Linked DNA regions of Bombyx mori. The protein of the gene in region 2 purifies or fractionates together with the protein of the main gene of each other region. This does not show direct contact. Links are inferred from orthologs where the notes say so. Each region holds a gene or a part of one and is shown on either strand. Other genes may lie near its edges.

The links.
Region 1: the proteins of DNA-directed RNA polymerase II subunit Rpb4 (region 2) and mRNA-capping enzyme purify together in Homo sapiens (affinity purification with mass spectrometry; 3 studies listed by BioGRID and IntAct, with this or other methods). This does not show direct contact. The link is inferred for Bombyx mori from reciprocal best matches to the Homo sapiens genes POLR2D and RNGTT.

What each region holds. Positions count from the first base shown.
Region 1 is NC_085110.1:3,886,070-3,890,684, forward strand, and holds the start of mRNA-capping enzyme, read right to left. Parts: upstream 3,046-4,615; 5' UTR 2,739-3,045; coding exon 2,553-2,738; intron 2,329-2,552; coding exon 2,192-2,328; intron 1,780-2,191; coding exon 1,612-1,779; intron 1,090-1,611; coding exon 986-1,089; intron 591-985; coding exon 533-590; intron 13-532; coding exon 1-12.
Region 2 is NC_085114.1:9,607,099-9,611,658, forward strand, and holds the start of DNA-directed RNA polymerase II subunit Rpb4, read left to right. Parts: upstream 1-1,644; 5' UTR 1,645-1,754; exon of another isoform or gene 1,755-1,763; intron 1,764-2,561; 5' UTR 2,562-2,928; intron 2,929-4,560. Other genes in the region: uncharacterized protein LOC119628842, read right to left, coding at 492-650, 828-1,067, 1,260-1,308. UniProt on the Homo sapiens protein: Core component of RNA polymerase II (Pol II), a DNA-dependent RNA polymerase which synthesizes mRNA precursors and many functional non-coding RNAs using the four ribonucleoside triphosphates as substrates.

The DNA.
Region 1 (4,615 bases), on a different chromosome or scaffold from region 2:
CTGTCGCTACATCTGGAAGAAAATATATTAATTGTTTTATTGTACAATAAGTGATCGTATGAACAGGTTTTCTACGTGTTGTCTGTGAGGCCTCAGGTGATTCAAGGGTTGCTCTCATTCACAAACGAACTCGATTCATAGTTAAGAAAGTGTGCTCATAAGCTTTGGTAATTGAGCTTGCTTGCTTAGGTACAAAGATAATGTGGTCATACAGTCCCGTTTAAAGAGTGAGACCATACCGCTAACTTCATAACACGGAAGTAGCTCGTGAGCTCTATTAGTCATCTATAGCAATTAAGAAGACCTATTAGTAACTGGCTTCAGCAGTAAGTACCCTACCCAGTTTTATGAGGCAATGGAATGTGTTCGTACCAAGAGTTACTACCTGAAAGTTCAAGTACGACCAATGACCGACGTGAACAATTTTAACAAACAGTTATTATTCTTGTATACCAATCACAGCGGAATATGGTCAGGTTTGACTAGATATTAATAAATATAAAAATTTACCTAAGGAATAACAAGAACTTACTCTGATGTATCCTGTGTAGCACTCGGGTTGTCATCATCAGATTCTTCTTCTTCTATTTCTGTAATTTGAGATTATTAATTCCATGGTTAATTGCACAATGGATCAATTTATAAGATATATTCATATTGGCTGACACAATGCTAATTGTTAATTGGCAATCACAGTGAAGCAGTTGCGTTTAGTGATAGATGGGACAATGATTATACAATACATAAGAGACAGTCTATGGTTTTCTGAAAGCACTTTACACATCATTGACCAGCAATATTACCTAAAAATTTACATCATGTCACCGGCTATTATTTCTTAATTGGATGTGGAAGTAATAAAATGTAAGCATTAGTAATTTTTTTATATACAGCAGTAGTCAACAATGTGTTGACCACATGAACAATGAAATTGATCTAATTGAGATTGTCTGGCCTATTTCACCTACGTTGTTTTTGTGCTTACCATTGCACCAGTCAGGTCTTGCAGGAGCCATTGGAGTATCTTCAACATCTCCATATAGTTTGAACAATTCAGTGAGGTAATCTTGCTTGTATATTCCTGGAGGTCTGCAAATCAAACAAAGCCAAATTTTTTTAGCCCAAGCAAACAATAACCTGAATACCACTACTTTGACACTGACTTGAAAATTAAATACGATTACATTGATACAAGTTGTGTGAACTTTAAGCTGTATTTCTTTTTACTATCATTTTAAGCAGACATGCACACGGGCTTCTCAATGGCCATGATATTTTTTTTATATTTTTACTTGAAAACAAAGAGATTTAAACATAAATACAGCACAGCAAACTGAATAATCCAGGGGCAGGTACTTAGCAGTAACAGCAGTGGTGTTTGTGGGCTTTTCTAACCACTTAACACCTAGTGGGTCATATGCTCATTCACAGGCTACTCAATCAAAAAAAACATAGTTCTTATTTTCTCAATTTAGAGCCAAAGGAAATGCAAGCTTATTCCTATTAATTTTGTGATGTAATTTGAGAATGGTTAATGAAAATTTACACACATTAATTTTATTTTCAAAACACATACATTTCATTGAAAGCAAGACCATAAAATATATTTACCTTTTTGTATTAAACTCTTTTAAGGCAGCTTCAATACTACAGTCCATTTCTTGAACCATGAAAGACACAATCAAGAAACCGGTTCTGTTAAATCCATGTGTGCAGTGAACAGCTATGAGCTCAAGAGGTTTTTTCTTCATAAAGTTCTTGACAGTGTGTATGAAGACCCTGAATCCAATAAGGCGTTTTAACTTCATTGTCTGGTTTCAAACACTAACAAAATAAGACTAATTTTTATTAATCAACACACTGTATTCCTCTTTTCTAACACAAGTACCAATTACATGAAGCATGGCATTAAACCAGTAACAGGGATATTTTTTTTAAATCTATTTTTTTGCATTTAGTTATTTTGATTCTTTAAACATCACATCATAACACCATTATATGTCAATGATTATATGAAACACAACAAACAAACTTGTAAATATATTTTTCACTTTGTAATTCACATCCAATCTGTTAACCAAATGTCTATAATTTTTCATAATGAATACTTATTGTATTTATTATTCACATTGACTGAAATGTATAATTTATAATTATTGTATATTATAAATATTATAACACTGCATCAAACCTTATTTGGTCTTCACTCGGTGCCTCTCCGTGACCTTTGCATTGTATTTTCATATATTTACAGTCCATTTCCTCTATCTCCCCTTTATCGTAAAATCTGCTTGTATTTGTGAGATCAATCCATAAACCTATTTTTTTCTAAAAGAAAACAATTTTTTTTTCTAGACGATATGAAAAATGTTACCGCATGCTCAAAAGTTGCGTGTACAAAATTGTAAATGAATTTTATGAGATACAATGACTCGTATATATTCGTATATTTTTGAGTCTCAAATTTAATTTATGATATTATTGTTATTTTTATGCAAATATAAAATTAACTAGTCTTAATTGTTATATTAACTTGAGTAATCTCTTTTTACCTTAATACTTTTAGAGAAGTCGAAAATCATTTTAGGCGTAAAACGACACTTTTCGGGCACTTTTTCATTGAATTTTGTGCCCAATGGTGTTTTAAAGGCTAAAAACGATTGGGCTATTAAAGATGTACACTTTCTCGGGCAATTCAACCACCTACTGGGCAGTGGACCTGGATCACTTTTCGACATTTTCAGCAGAGCTACAAGCCTAGTTAAATAATACGATTCAACTTATACACAATCCAAAAGAATACAAAAATGTGTCTCTGGCGTTTTGCTTTTGAGTTATCTTCACAAACTATAATAACAGTGTATCGTCCTAGTAGTCAAATCTCAGAAATTTTTCTTGAATTTTAATTCAATAAACAAATATCTGTAGTACTCTCGTGTTCTTTAGCTTAATGTTTTTTTTATTAAATGTATGTTAATCTATGTTGTCGACAACCTTAAATCCTGTGTCAGTCTATGATTCTGTGCTGTTGACAGTGACAAGACAAGCACAGGCTAGCAAGAAAAAAGCATTAAAACCATAGACCTAGGTTTCCTACTTCAGTGATTAAAACCTATGATACTACGGAGGGTAGGGCTCACTGAATTTGGCCTCCTTTTTTTTATTTTCGGATTGTTTTTATTTTTAATTATTTGTTCGTCGTTTGTAAAAATTGTTTGTTCGTCTTTTATTAATTTATAATTAATTAAACAAATGATCACCCTTAAGTGGGCCCCTCTTACTAGATATCTTTATTTTTATCTTTAACAAATAATTAAATATAAAAAAAATCGGAAAAAAAATGGGTGCCAAATTCATTGAGCTGGAGGGTAGAGGTAAGGAGAACCGTCTCATATCCATATGGGAGAACTTTCAAAAAAGTGTCCCACTTTCACCACTAAATAACAGTTCAAAAATCCTCGAGAATGGCGCTAGCATAGGCACAGGGTATGATATGAATTGAGCAGTTGTTAACTCATTGAAGTATGCCGAGTTTGAAAATTTAATATATTTAATGACTAGAGTAATTAGTGACAGTGTAATATACAAGACCTCACATGTTTACGTAGTCCAAACTAATTTCAATAATATAACTTAACAATTTTACTGTCGATTACTGTTACTTCGATTGCATTTTCTTAGCAGCTTTAAATAAAATACTTTTTGTGATTTTGTGTTGCTTACAGTTCTTTCACCCTTTCTTATTTCTCTATCTTATTCTAATAACTTTTAGCGCCTTTTTTTAAATTTACCTCGGTGCTAATGTAGTGCCACCCTTATCTAACAGATTTTAACGAATACTTTTTCACATAGAGACGGTTCTACTTACCTCTACCCTCCATATTTTTTTTAATGAAATACGTACTCAACAAATGTTCATGATTGACTTCCACGGTGAAGGAATAACATCGTGTAATAAAAATCAAACCCGCAAAATTATAATTTGCGTAATCACTGGTGGTAGGACCTCTTGGGAGTCCGCGCGGGTAGGTACCACCGCCCTGCCTATTTCTGCCGTGAAGCAGTAATGCGTTTCGGTTTGAAGGGTGGGGCAGCCGTTGTAACTATACTGAGACCTTACAACTTATATCTCAAGGTGGGTGGCGCATTTACGTTGTAGATGTCTATGGGCTCCAGTAACCACTTAATATCAGGTGGGCTGTGAGCTCGTCCACCCATCTAAGCAATAAAAAAAAATATATATATAATATGATTCATAATAGGACTTGTAATTAGTAATTACTTAGTATTAATAATTAAATAAGTAATTAATTACATTCGCGCACTCAATGATACACACATTTTTTTTTATGAGAGCGATGGGTCCGGTAGAGATATATTATATTGAATCTGGACGAGACTCATGAATCAGAGTCCTTAAAGTAGGTTTACTTGTGGCACAATGGCGATGGAGAATTCACTAACTAGAAAATATAATTATAAAAAAAATAATATAAATACAACTTCGTTCTTCGTGTTCCCGCCAAAAACTTCAACCACAGACTACTGAGAGCCCAGGTAGCATAGCTATTTTTTTTTATTTTTTTTCTCCCATTTCTTGGCCTGCACGGTTTGT
Region 2 (4,560 bases):
GTTATCACAGAGTTGTCAGGAAGCAGTATGTGAAATCTATTCTGTAGCAAATAAAGCCGGATATTTTCTGAAAATTATGTTTTGTATCCCAAAAATTTTCTATTAATTATTATTATTTATTTTGTTTATTAATTATTTTGGAGGCCTGCATAGAATTGAATGGTTTTAAAAAAGGGAATACTTGTCTTAGAATTCTAATGTAATCACGGGCATGTTGTTTTTATTCATTGCTTAGATGGGTGGACGAGCTCACAGCCCACCTGTTGTTAAGTGGTTACTGGAGCCCATAGACATCTACAGCGTAAATGCGCCACCCACCTCGAGATATAAGTTCTAATGCCTCAAGTATAATTAAAACAGGTTCCCCACCCTTCAAACTGAAATGCATTACTACTTCACGTCTAAAATAGGCAGGGTGGTGGTACCTACCCGTGCGGATTCACAAGAGGTCTTACCACCAGTATGTTTCAATAAATAATAATAATTTTCACCTGTCACAATTTTTTTTAGTTTGTACTCCTTTAAGAGTGATTCATATGTATTTTTAACACAAGCATGAATTCGGCCTACTGACCATGTCAAAATTACTGGCTGGTCAGTCGACTGCAATTTTGATAGTGAATCCAGTTGATTTTTTAGTATTTTTATACCTGAAATGAAACATTTAAATATGACATAGTTCAGTTTTGCATTAGAATTAGATTGATTAGAAAGTTAATGTATATTCCATTCCATTAAATTGTTTAAACTGTAACATTATTAAAAGTAGTCTCACATACTCCAATATTGTAGTTGATTGTTAGACTAACATACATCATTTTACTTACCCTCGATAATATTTTGAAAGCTATCTATAATTTCAACTAAGCCCTCAGTCAATGGCTTCAATAGGTGCGGATAATAATCATCATTATACTCGTGCAGTTTCACTGATGAGATCCCTTTACAAAACTTAGAACCTTTATCTTTTAGTTTGACCCAATCAATTAACAAACTATGAAACGAAGACACATGTGAAAATACAGTCTTTGATAAGCCTGGTTGGTCTTTATTTGGAGTTGTAATCTCTGAAATAATATCATTTATTAAATTACTTACTATTTCAATCGACATGGACAACAGAAATTTTGTTTGTTAAACTTTTTCTTCTTAATCGATGATGGGCAGACAAACTCACAGCCCACTTGATAATAAGTGATATTGATACCCAGCAACGTAACCATAATAGTTTATAAATCAAACTCTATGTAAATAATTACCTCTAGGTACAAAGTTGATAGCCAATTCTTTTATTGGAGTTTTGGACATTACGAACTTATTACTTAAATTTGAAATAAATATCTTTAGCCGAGTCTCTAAGTAGATAATAAAATTGAAGTGTTTTTGTTCTTCTTAATTTTTCAATATTGCAATTGGCTTACAGCCAGCGGTTACAAGACCTTCTAGTCCAGCTATAATATAATTTCTACGTAAAGAGCACGTAGAAATTCTAATCTGATAAATCAGAATTCATATGAAGCTAAATGAGATGAACTTAACTAATGTTAGTCTTTAAATTTGAGTGACATTATATGAAACTAGGATGTTTTATGATGCGTAAGCCGGATCGCACAAGAGGTGGGAAAAAGAAGATAGTCTGTGACACGGGACCTTTTTACCGCCGGGAGTCCGGGACTTTTTGGCGGGAACGCGAGGAGTGAAGTTGTGTGATTTGTTTTATTTTGTCGATTTAGTATTTCTTCAGGTTTAAATGTGTAATAACGGTGATTTATTAACTGTTTAATATCTGTGAAAGTTCACAAATGTGGGAAAATGCAACAAAGCCGCTGAACATAACTTCCCCGGAATCCTCCAAAAAGTCCACTGAAAAAAGGACATGGACCATACATTGCACGCCCCACTAAACGAACATCATCATCAGCTTATCTATTATTTATATTTATCGATTAAATATGTTAATATATTTTGCTAGTTTTTTGTAATACATTGTTTTCTTTAAGAAGATTTAATATGAATTATTTAAAATATAAATATATTTTACCCATGGCAGCTCCTTCAATATTATCAATGTAGCTTAATCATGCTTAAGTATTTCTTTTTATTTATGCTTTTGATTATCCCACCATTAAAATACCCTTAAATTTTATAATAAGTATGTAAAAATGAAATGTTTTTTTCTATAGATATTTTATTAATGTCCTTGAGGGCACGAGTAGCTGGGCCGAAAATGGCCCATGTCCTTTCATTAAATGACCACCATTTTACTGAGATTATATTTCATCCCATATCATCTCATCTCACTATATTTAATTTCATCTTACTTGATTATTGTCTCAAATTAATCATCTTCATTGCATTTCACTTCTTTCCATTATATAATTTTTCATAAAATTAAGAATATGAATTAAAATAAGACATGACCTAAAGGTCTTAGTTGAGCTGGACATAAAATACCCAAAAAAATTTTTTTTACCGCTGAATATTTAAAGGACGAAAAAAAAAAATGGTATAACTTAGAACTGTATAAGCCGCTGCAACAATAAAACTCCTATTGTTTCAAGTGTGGTGTTAATTACATAAAACACGATTTTCCCGCGAAATAAAGAAGGGACTTTATACGGACTCCCTCAATGGGATGAAATAAAATCGTCTCAGTAAAACAAGGATTATTAACTGAGAGTTCAGTGGACGTGACTAATGGATGCTCTGGATGAAATTTAATGAAACTAAATGGAATGAAACGTGTTAAGATGAAATAAATTAAAGATGTTCCAGTAAAATAGTGGGAATTTATTGACACTTAAGTATACTATCGAAGTAGTAGGTAGGTAGACTATCGAAGAACGTAAGATGTGCCGGGGCCACGGTAGTCAAAGTTGATCAGGTGATAATTGTGTAAGTGTGAAGGCTGGAATAGTTTCGACACAGGTAATTATTTTCATTTGAGAAGTAAGAATGGAAAATTTATCTAGTGGGTATTATTTTTCAATCATGCAACGTGGTGTTAAAATTTACATAAGCCAACTACTGTTCGCGATTTTGGAGCAATCTTTTTTCCGTGATAGTTCCCATTACAGAATCCTTTGCTAAATCGACTAATCTCCCTTTGCCTGTCCAAACTAGGGATGGTCTGTAACAGGTGAAATTAGAGACCTGTTCCACCTGTTCCTGTTCCAGCGAAAGAACAGTTCCAGTAGCCTGTTCCAATATAACAGCGTTTTGTTTTGCAACAGGTTTAATAATGTTTTAAATAGAATATGTCCACTTATAGGAACAGTTATAACATATGAAATGGTTTTAATACATTTTTTTAAATGAAAACAATCCTTCATGCTTTCTCAGGCTTAGGACTGACAACTGAATTTATTAATATTAATGATATGTGAAGCTAGTTTTGCCAAAATGTACTTAATACTTTAAATACTAACTAATATTGGCGAGGACTGCTCTCCCTCCGCGCCTCCGGTTTTTTATATACACTCTAGGGGTAGGGCAGACAAGACCAGGTGGAAAGTGATGTGCTCTGATTCGGTTTTCGATATTTTACGAATATTTTTGCAGTTTTATATCCAAAACACGAGCAATTTTACTGTTTTATATTTAAATCTTGTTTAAAAAGTTAATTTATTACAGAGACAGATTTTTTAGATGAGTGGACGAGCTCACAGCCCACCTGGTGTTAAGTGGTTACTGGAGCCCATAGACATCTACAACGTAAATGCGCCACCCATCTTGAGATATAAGTTCTAAGGTCTCAATTATAGTTACAACGGCTGCCCCACCCTTCAAACCGAAACGCATTACTGCTTCACGGCAGAAATAGGCAGGGTGGTGGTACCTACCCGTGCGGACTCACAAGAGGTCCTACCACCAGTAATTACGCAAATTATAATTTTGCGGGTTTCATTTTTATTACACGATGTTATTCCTTCACCGTGGAAATCAATCGTGAACATTTGTTGAGTACGTATTTCATTAGAAAAATTGGTACCCGCCTGCGGGATTCGAACACCGATGCATCGCTCAACACGAATGCACCGGACGTCTTATCCGTTAGGCCACGACGACTACGGGATTTTCCCGGGGATGAAATCCCGTCTTAACATTAGTACGGGTACCGCCTAAGGCGAGACTTTCGGCGCGCATCGCGGTACCGTAAGTTTCGTGTAGTCGGTGTGGTGGAGCTCGATGGGGTTTAGTCGGTAGTCGTTCTGCGGGGTAAGTGCTTCGCGCGCCTTTTTCAAGGCGTAGTCTCCTATGAGAAATTGGGGCAGGTGAAGGACCTCGGCCCTTCTCTTCTCCCCTTCTTCCTCTCAGGAGGCCAGGCCAGGAGGCGCCGGAGTCCGACATAACCCGGTCCGTTACCCCCCTCGACCGGGTAGCGTATTTCCATTTCCGTGTTCATTAGGAGGCAGTACTGCCTTGAAACACGCACGGGTTTGTCGCGCTAGCTTCCTTTACAAAATCGTGTTCAATTCAAGGCACGTGTCCTCAAATCGCGCACGGGTTTGCAACGCCAACTGCCCTTCTAAACACGTGTTCAATTCAGGGTACGCGTCC